Danio rerio: one gene and its partners. The protein of the gene in region 2 binds, or shares a complex with, the protein of the main gene of each other region. Links are inferred from orthologs where the notes say so. Each region holds a gene or a part of one and is shown on either strand. Other genes may lie near its edges.

Region 1 (3,740 bases), on a different chromosome or scaffold from region 2:
CTCAGGTACCGCCTACTTTGGAGCACTATTGGCTGACAGGACTGCCAATCCTAATCAACCGTGTGATGATGACTTCTCTCTCTACCAATCGCGTTCGTTGCAGAGCCTTTTAAAAACGGAAGCGGCAACGGGGAGAAATCAGCTGTTGTTGTTTTGGCGTGTTGTCTGTTTGGTGGTGTCCGTGTGCGTTGTCGCTGCTACTGATGTGTACTTTGATTGAGATTTATTGATGTTGACTTTGAGTGAGATTAACTGATGACTTTGAGTGAGATTTGTTTGAGTTTTGACGAGTGTTTTCTACATCTCTAGCCCGCTATTGCTACATTCAAAAACCTTCTGTGACTTGACAAGGGAGATCTGGAACAACATAGTAAGTCACGTGACATACATTTTTGCACGCATGATTATTAATGTATAGACACACTAGTTAGCGAAGTGCGCTAATTTTGTATTTTTATTTATTAGTTAGAGTAAGTTCAGGGCGCTTTGCGCTGAAGACTTTTCTTTTCATATTGTTGTTTTCTATTTAGTGGATTGGGGAGGAGATTAAGGGAATGTTTTTGTTATATTTATTTCTTTGATTTCCATGCGCAAACTTCAGTTCCCTCTCCTATTTGTCTTGGTTCTTTTCAACTTTATCTTATTGTTTGTAAATAATGTGGGAGCGATAAATCTTTTGCGGTGCTAATTTGTTGTTTGGTGTTTTCTCTTGCCATTCTTCAACATCAGTTTATACTTTGGTCATCTTTATGTTACTCCTTTTAATACCCTAGACCAGGGGTGTCCAAACTTTTTGGGCCGAGGGCCAGATGCAAAAAAACAAACGTTGTCGTGGGCCAAATTTTACATACATCACACAGACACGTGTATATGTGTGTGTGTGTATATATATATATATATATATATATATATATATATATATATATATATATATATATATATATATATATATATATATATATATAAAATACAGTTGAAGTCAGAATTGTTAGCCCCCCTAAATTATTAGCCCCCGTTTATTTTTTTCCCCAATTTCTGTTTAACGGAGAGAAGATTTTTTTCCACACATTTCTAAACATATTAGTTTTAGTAACTCATTTCTAATAACTGATTTATTTTATATAAATAATAATATTTAAATAATATTTAACTAGATATTTTTAAGACACTTCTATACAGCTTAAAGTGACATTTAAAGGCTTCACTAGGTTAATCAAGTTAACTAGTCAAGTTAAGGTAATTAGGCAAGTTATTTTTATAACAATGGTTTGTTCTGAAGACTTAAGGGGCTAATAATTTTGACCTTAAAATGGTTCATAAAAAAATTTAAACCGCTTTTTATTTTAGCCGAAATAAAACAAAAGTCTTTCTCCAAAAGAAAAAATATTATCAGACATACTGTAAAAATGTCCTTGCTCTGTTAAACATCATTTGGGAAATATTTAAAAAGAAGAAATAAAGAGGGGCTAATAATTCAGACTTCAACTGTGTGTAGACAGACAGACAGACAGACAGACAGACAGACAGACAGACAGACAGACAGACAGACAGACAGACAGACAGACAGACAGACAGACAGACAGACAGACAGACAGACAGACAGACAGATAGATAGATAGATAGATAGATAGATAGATAGATAGATAGATAGATAGATAGATAGATAGATAGATAGATCATAACAAGAAGGGCTGCTTAATTGAATGCATGTAATAGCGACACCCGGTGGTTATTTATTGAATTACGTTCATTTCTGTATAGCGGGCCAGATTCTATTGATGTTTATAAAAAGCCTCGCGGGCCGCCACAAAACTGATTGAGGGCCGCAGATGGCCCGCGGGCCGTAGTTTGGACACGCCTGCCCTAGACAAATTGCCATCAAGGATCGTAACAAGCACCTTGACCTTCTTTGCTTTCAAGAACCTGAGATGGAGTGCTGTCTTGCTGAAGGATTTACCCTCTCCTGTGGTTTGTAATTTAACAGGCAGCACAAATGTCTTGATACCTAATGCTGGTAATGTCCTCTGTAGCATTTGTGATGATTGGGATACAGTTCAACAGATGATTCATCTGAAAAATCTACTTTCTTCCAAATGATCAACTAGAAGTCAAGTTATTATTTATTGCTCTTACAACTGGAATGGACAAGACTTTTGATAGATAGTGTGATAGATAGGTATAAGGGATTCATATGTATAGTGCGAGAGTCAAATTGACTAATTTTATGGCCCTGTTTTGAATGTAAACAATCACTGATCACTGTATTTTCCTTTTCAAATTTATATTTTTGTTATATGAAAGTAGAAAAAACACTAGATGTTTTAGACATCATAAAAAAATAAACATAATAGCTGAAATGTAAAAAGCAATTTGAATAATGATAAATATTTCTATAATTAATTTTGCTATTGCAATAATTTACTGTTTTCATTTTGAGGATGCTGTTGAACTTCTATAAAAAATGCAATAAAAACCTTTTTTTCAAAATATATGCATTATATATTTTTATTTTATTGCATTTGTGATTTTTAATTTTTGTCGAAACTAGTCCAGAGCAATGGGTAATGGGTAAATGCAGAGTAATGGGTAAAAAGTAAAAAAAATATATATATATAATATTAATTATTAATATTAATACTAATAATAATAATTCTTGACTGCTGAACAAAAAAAAACAACAAAAAAAAAACTCCATGTGTAAAAATTATATGCATTCTGCTGCATAAAAATATGATACAACAAATAAAATGTAGCTGTTTTACCTCATTAGAGAAAACATTCCCTGTGACTTTGTTAGCAACGATGTGGGAGTTGTTTGTGAAGACGGTGTAGAGCACAGGACAGTGGTACTTTCCTAAAGTACAGGGGAAAAAAGAGGACTTTAACCATTATCTCTCATCATTAACACACATTGCTGTTGACGCAGGCCAGGTAAGAGGATCAAGAGCGCACACACAAACATATTTACCTTCATTGTTTTTGCTGAAGTTAAGCTTGATAAGGGATTTAGCCTCCAGCTTCTAAAAACAGAAAGAGAGAGAGTTAGTGACTATATCTGTGAAACTGGCTCTCAGACACACCTACATTTTCAATTATACTTTAATCACACCCAGGAAAAGTTTAATTGTGTTTAATTACTTAGAATAAATTGACTGATTCATTCGGGACGTGCTTGGGCGATGATAAGACAATACATAAACAGACTGGCACTCATTTTAAACACCACTTAGTCATGGGAATCTAGTATAGTTTGAGAGAAATCTGAAAAAGGTCATTCATGTGTCTAATTGCACATAGATAAAAGAACCACAAGGAAACGTCAGCTTAAAAAGAAAAGAAACTTGGCAAAAGTGATGTTAAGAGTTGTCTGGCTAGTTATTCAGCTTGTAATTATGTATGTATTGATATGTGATGGTAATGTACACTATATGTCAAACCTTTGTGGTAAGTAGTTTTATTGATCAGAAATAATACATTAAATTCATCACAAATGCCCTGAAAAAAATTATTCATAGATGATTCCTTAAATTTACTAAAGTTTTTTTAAGGCAAGTAGTTGTATACATTTTGTTTGTTTAAATGTAGCCCAATTAAATTAAGTCGAACATTGGTGATTTATTTTTGTTTGTTAAATTAAAATCATTTTTTCAGTGTGGGAGTTAAATGACCTGTAATAATAATAATAATAATAATACCTTTTATTTTTAGGCGCCTTTCAAAGCACTCAAGGACACCTTACA
Region 2 (3,600 bases):
GAGAGAAAAAACACAAACGATAAAAAAAATAATCAACAATTAGGAGCACCTCATGCAAGTTAAGCAGTTACTGTGTGAAAATGGTAAATAAGACGTTATTTAAGATAAGGTGGATTTAAATAAGCAGACAAAATCATGCTAACAGATTCAAACTGAAAATTCAGCGTCTTCACATAGATCTGGATCAGTAAACAAACACCCCTTAAACGAGTCTCGTGAAGTTAGCTGCTAGCAGTCTTAGCTTTCTCGGTTAGCTTCGTGCAAACAAACACTTTTATTCTCCACATAATGATTAAACAAACTACAACTTCAGCATCAGATCACGTTAGTGTAGCATCAACAAAAAGAGACGCATCTAATAACTAATATCAGTGCACTCTTTAATACACAAAAATAAAGCAAAGCTCAGTCGTGGTTACGGTCAGCTCTGCTAATTCACCAACTCTCTCATGATGATCATATCCGAGATCGCCTACATTTCCACGGACGGCCTCCTGCAGTCAATTACCTCAGTTTTTCATTCGGCTCCAACGAAATCTCCGATTTTCGGGCCAAAATCCTCTTGCGTGTTTCTGTGGAAGACCTTCGTGCATGAATTTCTTTAATTCACTCGGTATTTTTGTGTGTATTTCGGTCCACACAATACCCAACGTGTGTTCTCACCCAGTTGAACGAGTCGTTCCTTTCTTAAAATGGCGCGAGGCCGTAAACCGCTGCGGTGTTTCACGACACATTTACGTCTAGTGGTACATTCACGATAGGGGCGTGGCCAGTGTGGAATTTGTACTGTAAAATATTATTTATTGTTATACAGTGTCACAAAACTTATGCTATGTTGATGTACGTATCCACAGTATCCTAACTAGACTTTACCTTTATAATGGGAAAAAATTCACTCTAAATCATAATTTTACTTTAAGTACACCATAAAATACCTTAAAACGTCTTTATCCTTAATTTTGCTCAATGCATGCATCCAAATATTGTCTGAATATTGCTAGTTACTGATTAATAATAATAGTAAAGATATGTACATTATCAATTGTTAAATGGGAATATATTCATATCAAATACAACAGCAGTAAACCATTCCCATTCTACGTTTCTTCCCAAACACAAGAGGCGCTGTAACCAAAAAATGACTTCATCGTTTGTTTTTATACGTAGTTAAAGATGGCGGAGTCCGAGGAGCCGAAAAAACCCACCTGCACATTTATTTTTAAGAAATCAAACAAGAAATTTTCCGCACGGAAAAGAAATGCAAGTGACAGCGACAAAGGTACGTTGTGCTTCTTTCTTCAGTGTCTCAATCGACAGCGAGTTTGACTTGAGAAACTATAATCCCTACAACAAGCCGTCTGTTTAATTAATGTTTATGCTCAATACATGTCTGCAGTTCAGTGTTTTGTTTCTTTATCATCAGAAAAAAGCAGCGGCGATGAGGGCAGTGCAGTGGTCAGAAAGAAGAAATCTGCCGCTGTGAACCCCATGATTCAGAAAGTATGTCCGTATTTCATGTGTTTTATGTAACTAGCCGCTGTTAAACTGATGTCATCATTATTATATTTATTATTCGTTTTATAGACGAAGAAAGTGGAGAGGGAAGCTGTCTCATCGAGTGAAAGTGAAGAAGAGAAGGAAGAAAAGAGCGTGACTGTCGCTTACAAGTCCACTCGCTCAGCGGTGAGTCTGACTGACCCAACATTTGTACAGCTTCATGATTTATGCTACAGCAAATTATGAATATAAACGCTTGATGGTGCCTAATAATTCATGACCACGTATGACTTTACATTTCTATTAACGTCTGACAGTTTTTGCGCTGTCTCATTGAAACATTAAAGGCTGTAATTGAGTGTATTTGACTATGTGTTGCAGAAACCAGAGGGGCCGGATGACATGGGGGCCACTGCTGTCTATGAGCTGGACACAGAGAGGGACAAAGATGCTCAGGCCATCTTTGAGCGCAGTCAGAAAATCCAAGAGGTATGCGGGTGATTGGAAATAACTGGCTGCATCATTGTAAAGTCAGGTTTATGTATGTTATGTACAGATTCAAAGTACCTTTACAGTTCTAGATTTAGATAACATTAAACTCAGCATTTTCAATTGTATTTACACATATTTCAAGTAGACAACAGCTCTACAGAAGGTGATATAGTAGCGTGTCATGTCATGTCAGTTCAGTTATTTAGATACCTCACTCAGTGCTTTCAAGCACAGCAGAATCAATTCATTTTAGAAAATAAATAGCCTTTATAATAGGCCTGGGCGATTTGGCCTCAAATCTAAATCTTGATTAACTAAACATTTTAACCCGATTACAACTAATGATTGATTATTTCATTTGTTTTTGCCCTCATAGTTAACTGACAGGTTTCGTAAAGTGAGAGATGTTTGAAAAGGGTGCATTACTTGATTTTAAAATAATTGAAGGAAACGCAAACTATCTACTATCTATGATTATTTATTGAACATCAGCGTTGAACAACTGAAATGAAAACACACATTGCCTAAAACCAACAGTCTTCTTTTTTTCGTTGCTCTCCGCGCTGCCCACTCTTGTCATCACTATCAAGCTGACCAACCGCAGAGCTTGCGCTACGTATCGTCAAGTAGTGACATTTTTTGAGAGGTGCGCGTCAGCCACGGCGAGGAGTATGCGATTGCTCAAAGTCTGCGCTCAATGCAGAAGAATAAACCAGCATCTAAGGAGCGGGGTCATTTCATGTCATGATATTTGATTGTTGATATTGTTAAGATGGCCAGAATATACACAATCTCTTAATCATATGGCTGCGTGTTTGTGTGTAATTTATAGGAGCTGACTGGTAAAGAAGATGATAAGATTTATCGTGGGATCAACAACTATCACAAATTCATTAAACCCAAAGATTCCACTATGGGCAATGCCTCCTCTGGCATGGTCAGGTGAGTCAGTGTTGTTACGAGTTTTTCTTTCTCTTGTTTCCTCTCCCTCTTTCCTGCACTCTCTCGGTCTGAATTATTTCCAGGTGCAGCGGATTACGGCAGATTGTGATTGGTGCTTGGATTGGCGGCTGTATTTAAGAGGCCTTTGTTTATCTTCTGAACACAAATGAAAATGTTTTAGATTAAATCTGACATCTCTCTCATCCTCCATGGACAGTGAGATTTCAAAGATGTTCAAAAGTCCAGAAACCAAAAACATTGCATGGGACTTTAGTGTTCTGATGTGTAATCATGTAGAGCTCCCAAAACACTTGTAAAAAACTGTAAATACATGAAAGAATACTTTATTTTTTGTATACATGACAGGTCAGGGTGCGCGTTTACTAGGCATGGGCCGGTATAAGATTCTGACGGTATGATAACCTTGGATAAAAATATCAGAGTTTCACAGTATTGTGATTACTGCTCAAAAATATTCTTTTAAAATGTCTGGGTAAAAAAAAAACTATTATTGTTCCCATTGAACACAATATATTTTATTTTAAGAAGCATATTTTGGAACAGTAAACATGACAGGCTAAAGAATTTATTGAAGACAGCAGAAGTCAATAGTTTCGAAAACACATATTTCTTTAAAAAAAAATGAAAAAGACATTCATCTTTCTCTTC
Region 3 (3,840 bases), on a different chromosome or scaffold from region 2:
GCACTATGTATATGAAGCTTTTAAAGTATGTATCACAATAATACCATGTGTTATTGAGTTTAGTACATGTATACTAGGAGTTTTATAGAAACGAACATCAAATGCGAAACATCAAATTGACAAAACCTTTACACTGGTAACATCATGTTGTGACCAGATGTACCTTGTTGACATAGCATATTCAAAGCATGAACATTAGGGGTGCAAGATATTGAAAAATAAATCAAACATTGACATATTTTGTTTTTCTGTGATAAATAATGCAAAATGAATATAGGTCCATCAGATGCCTTAACTCTATTTGGGAAGTGTTTATTAATTCAGACTGATTGCAATAAAGGATTGAATCATGCATAAAAAAATAACAAAAAATTACAAGTATTGTTACTTTATGAATTTGTCAAACAGCAAACAGGTACAGGAATTGCAAAAAAATCAAATGTAAATAAAACACTGCATCTTCTTTATTGTAAAAATTATTTTAAAAATGTATCTTTATTAAAGGTACAAATGGTCTAATTTCTTGTGCCTGTGTAACAGGGTTAAAATAATGTTTAATTGTCTTTCACCAAAATGGGTTATTTTGTTTATTTTGTGGCTGTTGAGAGACCTCTTGTGGCAACAGTGTGTAATTGTTTCTTTCACCTTTCACCTGCAAAACCCCGCCTACAGCAGAAAATGGTTGCAGAATGCAGAAAGGCGGTAGGTAAAATGTGCTCCAGCTAAATGTGACAAATTTTGTATTTTAACACATATTAATAACACATACAAGCCCAATATGAACATTAAGTGATGTTTTAGATCAAATCTGTCGAGTGATTGCCGTGTGTGACAAACTTTGTGTGGTTTAATTTGCTCATGCTAGGTGTAGCTGGAATGATGACATTAATATGTGCAAGGGTGATTTCTTACTATTTGTTTGGTTTTTTTAGATGCATGTTTAAATGCATACTGTTGCCAGATGATGTATATTTCTGTTACAGGTATGTTAACCTTTTGTAAATAAATAATGTTTTGTTAAAATGACTTTGTGGCAACACAGCAGAAAATGGTTGCTGAATGCAGAAAGGCGATGCATGTTTAAATGCATACTGTTGCCAGAGGATGTATATTTCTGTTACAGAATAAACAACGCAGAACGCAGTTCTCTGTGTCCGCCTGAGTGATTTGCGTCTTCAGGAAGAGAAGCGTTACACCTGGATGCTTTATACGTTCTTGAAATGTTCATACAGCGGCAGTCCATAAAACACAGGCAGACTTCCACTTTATATACATATATAAACTGTCTTCTGGTCAACTATAAACCCAACAAGACATTGCATATCCTCTGAGTTTTCTGAATATGCACTGTGATAATGCCCATGTTTTCTAGAGGTTTACCATAATAAAATAATACATTTAAACCATAGCGATATCATCTTTTATAATCTACACACCATATCAATACCATATTTTCTGAACATCATGATAGCACTGCGCACATTCTATAAGCAATTGTGACACTACTGTATATTTTTGAGGCATATGCCATGACAGAACCAAGCTTTCAGTACATGCACAGTAATTTAGTACTACTTTATGACATATGCATATAGTGACACCATGGTATACTACATGGTGATACAACATTTCATACCTTTCTCTTTTTCAGTTTGTAGTCATTGAGCTCTTCTTTATCGGTGATCTTCTGTTTGGGTGGCGGTGGCAGCAGCTCGAGCTCTCTCTCTTTGGCCTCTCTGAGCAGCTGCTCGGCGGTGATCTGCACCTCTGCAGGGGCTTTATTCTTCACCTGAACACAAACACAAAACCATTACAAAACAAGACAATCTTTAACCCATCTGGTTATAGTTCTATACATTATACAGTTGTTATTTTCAGAGTGGCACAAGTTCACGTTGTTTACAAGCTAATGCTAACTCACAGCTTTATTCTTCACATGAGCATTAATACAAAACCATTACAAAGCAAGACAACCTTTAACTCAACTGATTACATGTATACACATTATACATCAGTTAACTAATTATAAAGTAACGTTAGCAGAACTACATGTTGTTTACATGCTAATGCTAACTTACAGGGGTTTATTCTTCACCTGAACACAAACACAAATACATTATAAAAAAATAAGCTTAACTCCACTAACCACATTTATATACAGTAGTTAATTATTAAGTAACGTCAGCACGACTTCACGTTGTTTACATGCTAATGCTAACTCACAAAAACATCATATAGGTTTTACCTTCGCCACTTTCGGGATTCTCTGTTTGCCCGCCGCGGTGGACGCCATGATTATTACGCTCCTGACACTTTATTAAAAATAAATTAGACGTATGTTCTTGTGTTTTAGATTTCGAAAGCCCGCTAAAACCTGTAAGGTTAGCGACGTTTCAGTGCCGTGTGTGTCGCGCCTGCCGTGACGCGCTGTGACCTTTGCCTGCATCTACGTCACGGAGCATCTCACCATGGTGACAGGACGCTTGCTAGCGGTTAACGTTATCAATAAATAAAAGGTCAGCAGTTTGAGGCTGTTAAAACTCAGTTTTTTATTGTTATACACCAAAAATACCTGTTTAATTGTTTTATGTTGCTTGTGTATCGACTTTTTGTCAATGTAAGTGAATGCTTGTTGTTTTAAAATATTTTTGCCTATTATTGGCTAGTGACTGAGTTCAAAACTCAACATTTTACATTAATAACGTTAACTTACCTCAATTAAATACCTTAAACGTTTGTTATTTATTTGTTTACTGTTAGATCTGTTTATTGTTAAACCGAATTTTCTTCAATGTGTGTGAATGTTTATTTGTTTTTATAAAGGTTAGTGACGAGGCTCAAAGTAAAGTTACATGTAACGTTATGTTATTTAACTTTATTCGCTCACTGTTAGATTTTTTTATAGTCCGACCTATCTTTAATGTAAGTGAATGTCCATTTTTATTAATTTGTTAATTATGTATTGCTTGTTATTGTGTATGAAATAACCGTAAAGAGTTGTTATTTATTTGTTTACCAAAATAAGTCTGTGCGTGCACACAGACGAAAAACATATAACGTACAATTGAAGTCAGAATTATTAGCCCCCTTTGATTTTTTTTCTTTTTTAAATATTTCCCAAATGATGTTTAACAGAGCAAGGAAATTTTCACATTATGTCTGATAATATTTTGTCTTCTGGAAAAAGTCTTATTTGTTTTATTTTGGCTAGAATAAAAGCAGTTTTTATAAAATAAATAAAAAAATAAAATAAAATTTAAGGTCAATATTATTAGCCCCATGAAGCTATATTTTTGTCTACAGATCATTACACAATAACTTGCCTAATTACCCTGACCTGCCTAGTTAACCTAATTAACCTAATTAAGTCTTTAAATGTCACTTTAAGCTGTATAGTAGTATCTTGAAAATTATCTAATAAAATATTATTTACCTGTCATCATGATTAATTAAATAAATCAGTTATTAGAAATGAGTTAGCAAAAACTATTATGTTTAGAAATGTGTTGAAAAGAAATCTGCTCTCCGTTAAACAGAAATTAGGGAAAAAATAAACAAGGGGGCTAATAATTCAACTGACTTCAACTGTATATTACGTCTACAGTTGTGCTCGAATGTTTACATACCACTTATATAATCTGTTAAATGTGAATAATTTTAACAAAAGTAGCAACATAATACAAAATACATGGTAATTTGTAATAAGTATTGTACCATACACTCCTCAAAAATCTTTATTTTATATTCATGTTTTTAATAGGAAGCTGCAGTATTATATTTGTGCAAATACATTAGTCAGTACTGAAGCCAAATCTGGAGCTTATCAAACAAAACAACTTA

What was found.
Region 1: rnf113a (region 2) and ppil2 share a complex: the UniProt entries of both Homo sapiens proteins name them as parts of the minor spliceosome. The link is inferred for Danio rerio from reciprocal best matches to the Homo sapiens genes RNF113A and PPIL2.
Region 3: rnf113a (region 2) and crnkl1 share a complex: the UniProt entries of both Homo sapiens proteins name them as parts of the minor spliceosome. The link is inferred for Danio rerio from reciprocal best matches to the Homo sapiens genes RNF113A and CRNKL1.

The regions. Positions count from the first base shown.
Region 1 is NC_133180.1:13,603,011-13,606,750, reverse strand, and holds part of ppil2 (RING-type E3 ubiquitin-protein ligase PPIL2), read right to left. Parts: intron 3,021-3,740; coding exon 2,969-3,020; intron 2,855-2,968; coding exon 2,763-2,854; intron 1-2,762. UniProt on the Homo sapiens protein: Has a ubiquitin-protein ligase activity acting as an E3 ubiquitin protein ligase or as an ubiquitin-ubiquitin ligase promoting elongation of ubiquitin chains on substrates.
Region 2 is NC_133178.1:30,713,018-30,716,617, reverse strand, and holds the start of rnf113a (E3 ubiquitin-protein ligase RNF113A), read left to right. Parts: upstream 1-1,171; 5' UTR 1,172-1,173; coding exon 1,174-1,279; intron 1,280-1,423; coding exon 1,424-1,500; intron 1,501-1,584; coding exon 1,585-1,683; intron 1,684-1,878; coding exon 1,879-1,986; intron 1,987-2,821; coding exon 2,822-2,931; intron 2,932-3,600. UniProt on the Homo sapiens protein: Required for pre-mRNA splicing as component of the spliceosome. As a component of the minor spliceosome, involved in the splicing of U12-type introns in pre-mRNAs. E3 ubiquitin-protein ligase that catalyzes the transfer of ubiquitin onto target proteins.
Region 3 is NC_133195.1:52,274,879-52,278,718, reverse strand, and holds the start of crnkl1 (crooked neck-like protein 1), read right to left. Parts: upstream 2,345-3,840; 5' UTR 2,294-2,344; coding exon 2,246-2,293; exon of another isoform or gene 1,790-2,245; coding exon 1,637-1,789; exon of another isoform or gene 933-1,636; intron 703-932; exon of another isoform or gene 671-702; intron 1-670. UniProt on the Homo sapiens protein: Involved in pre-mRNA splicing process. As a component of the minor spliceosome, involved in the splicing of U12-type introns in pre-mRNAs.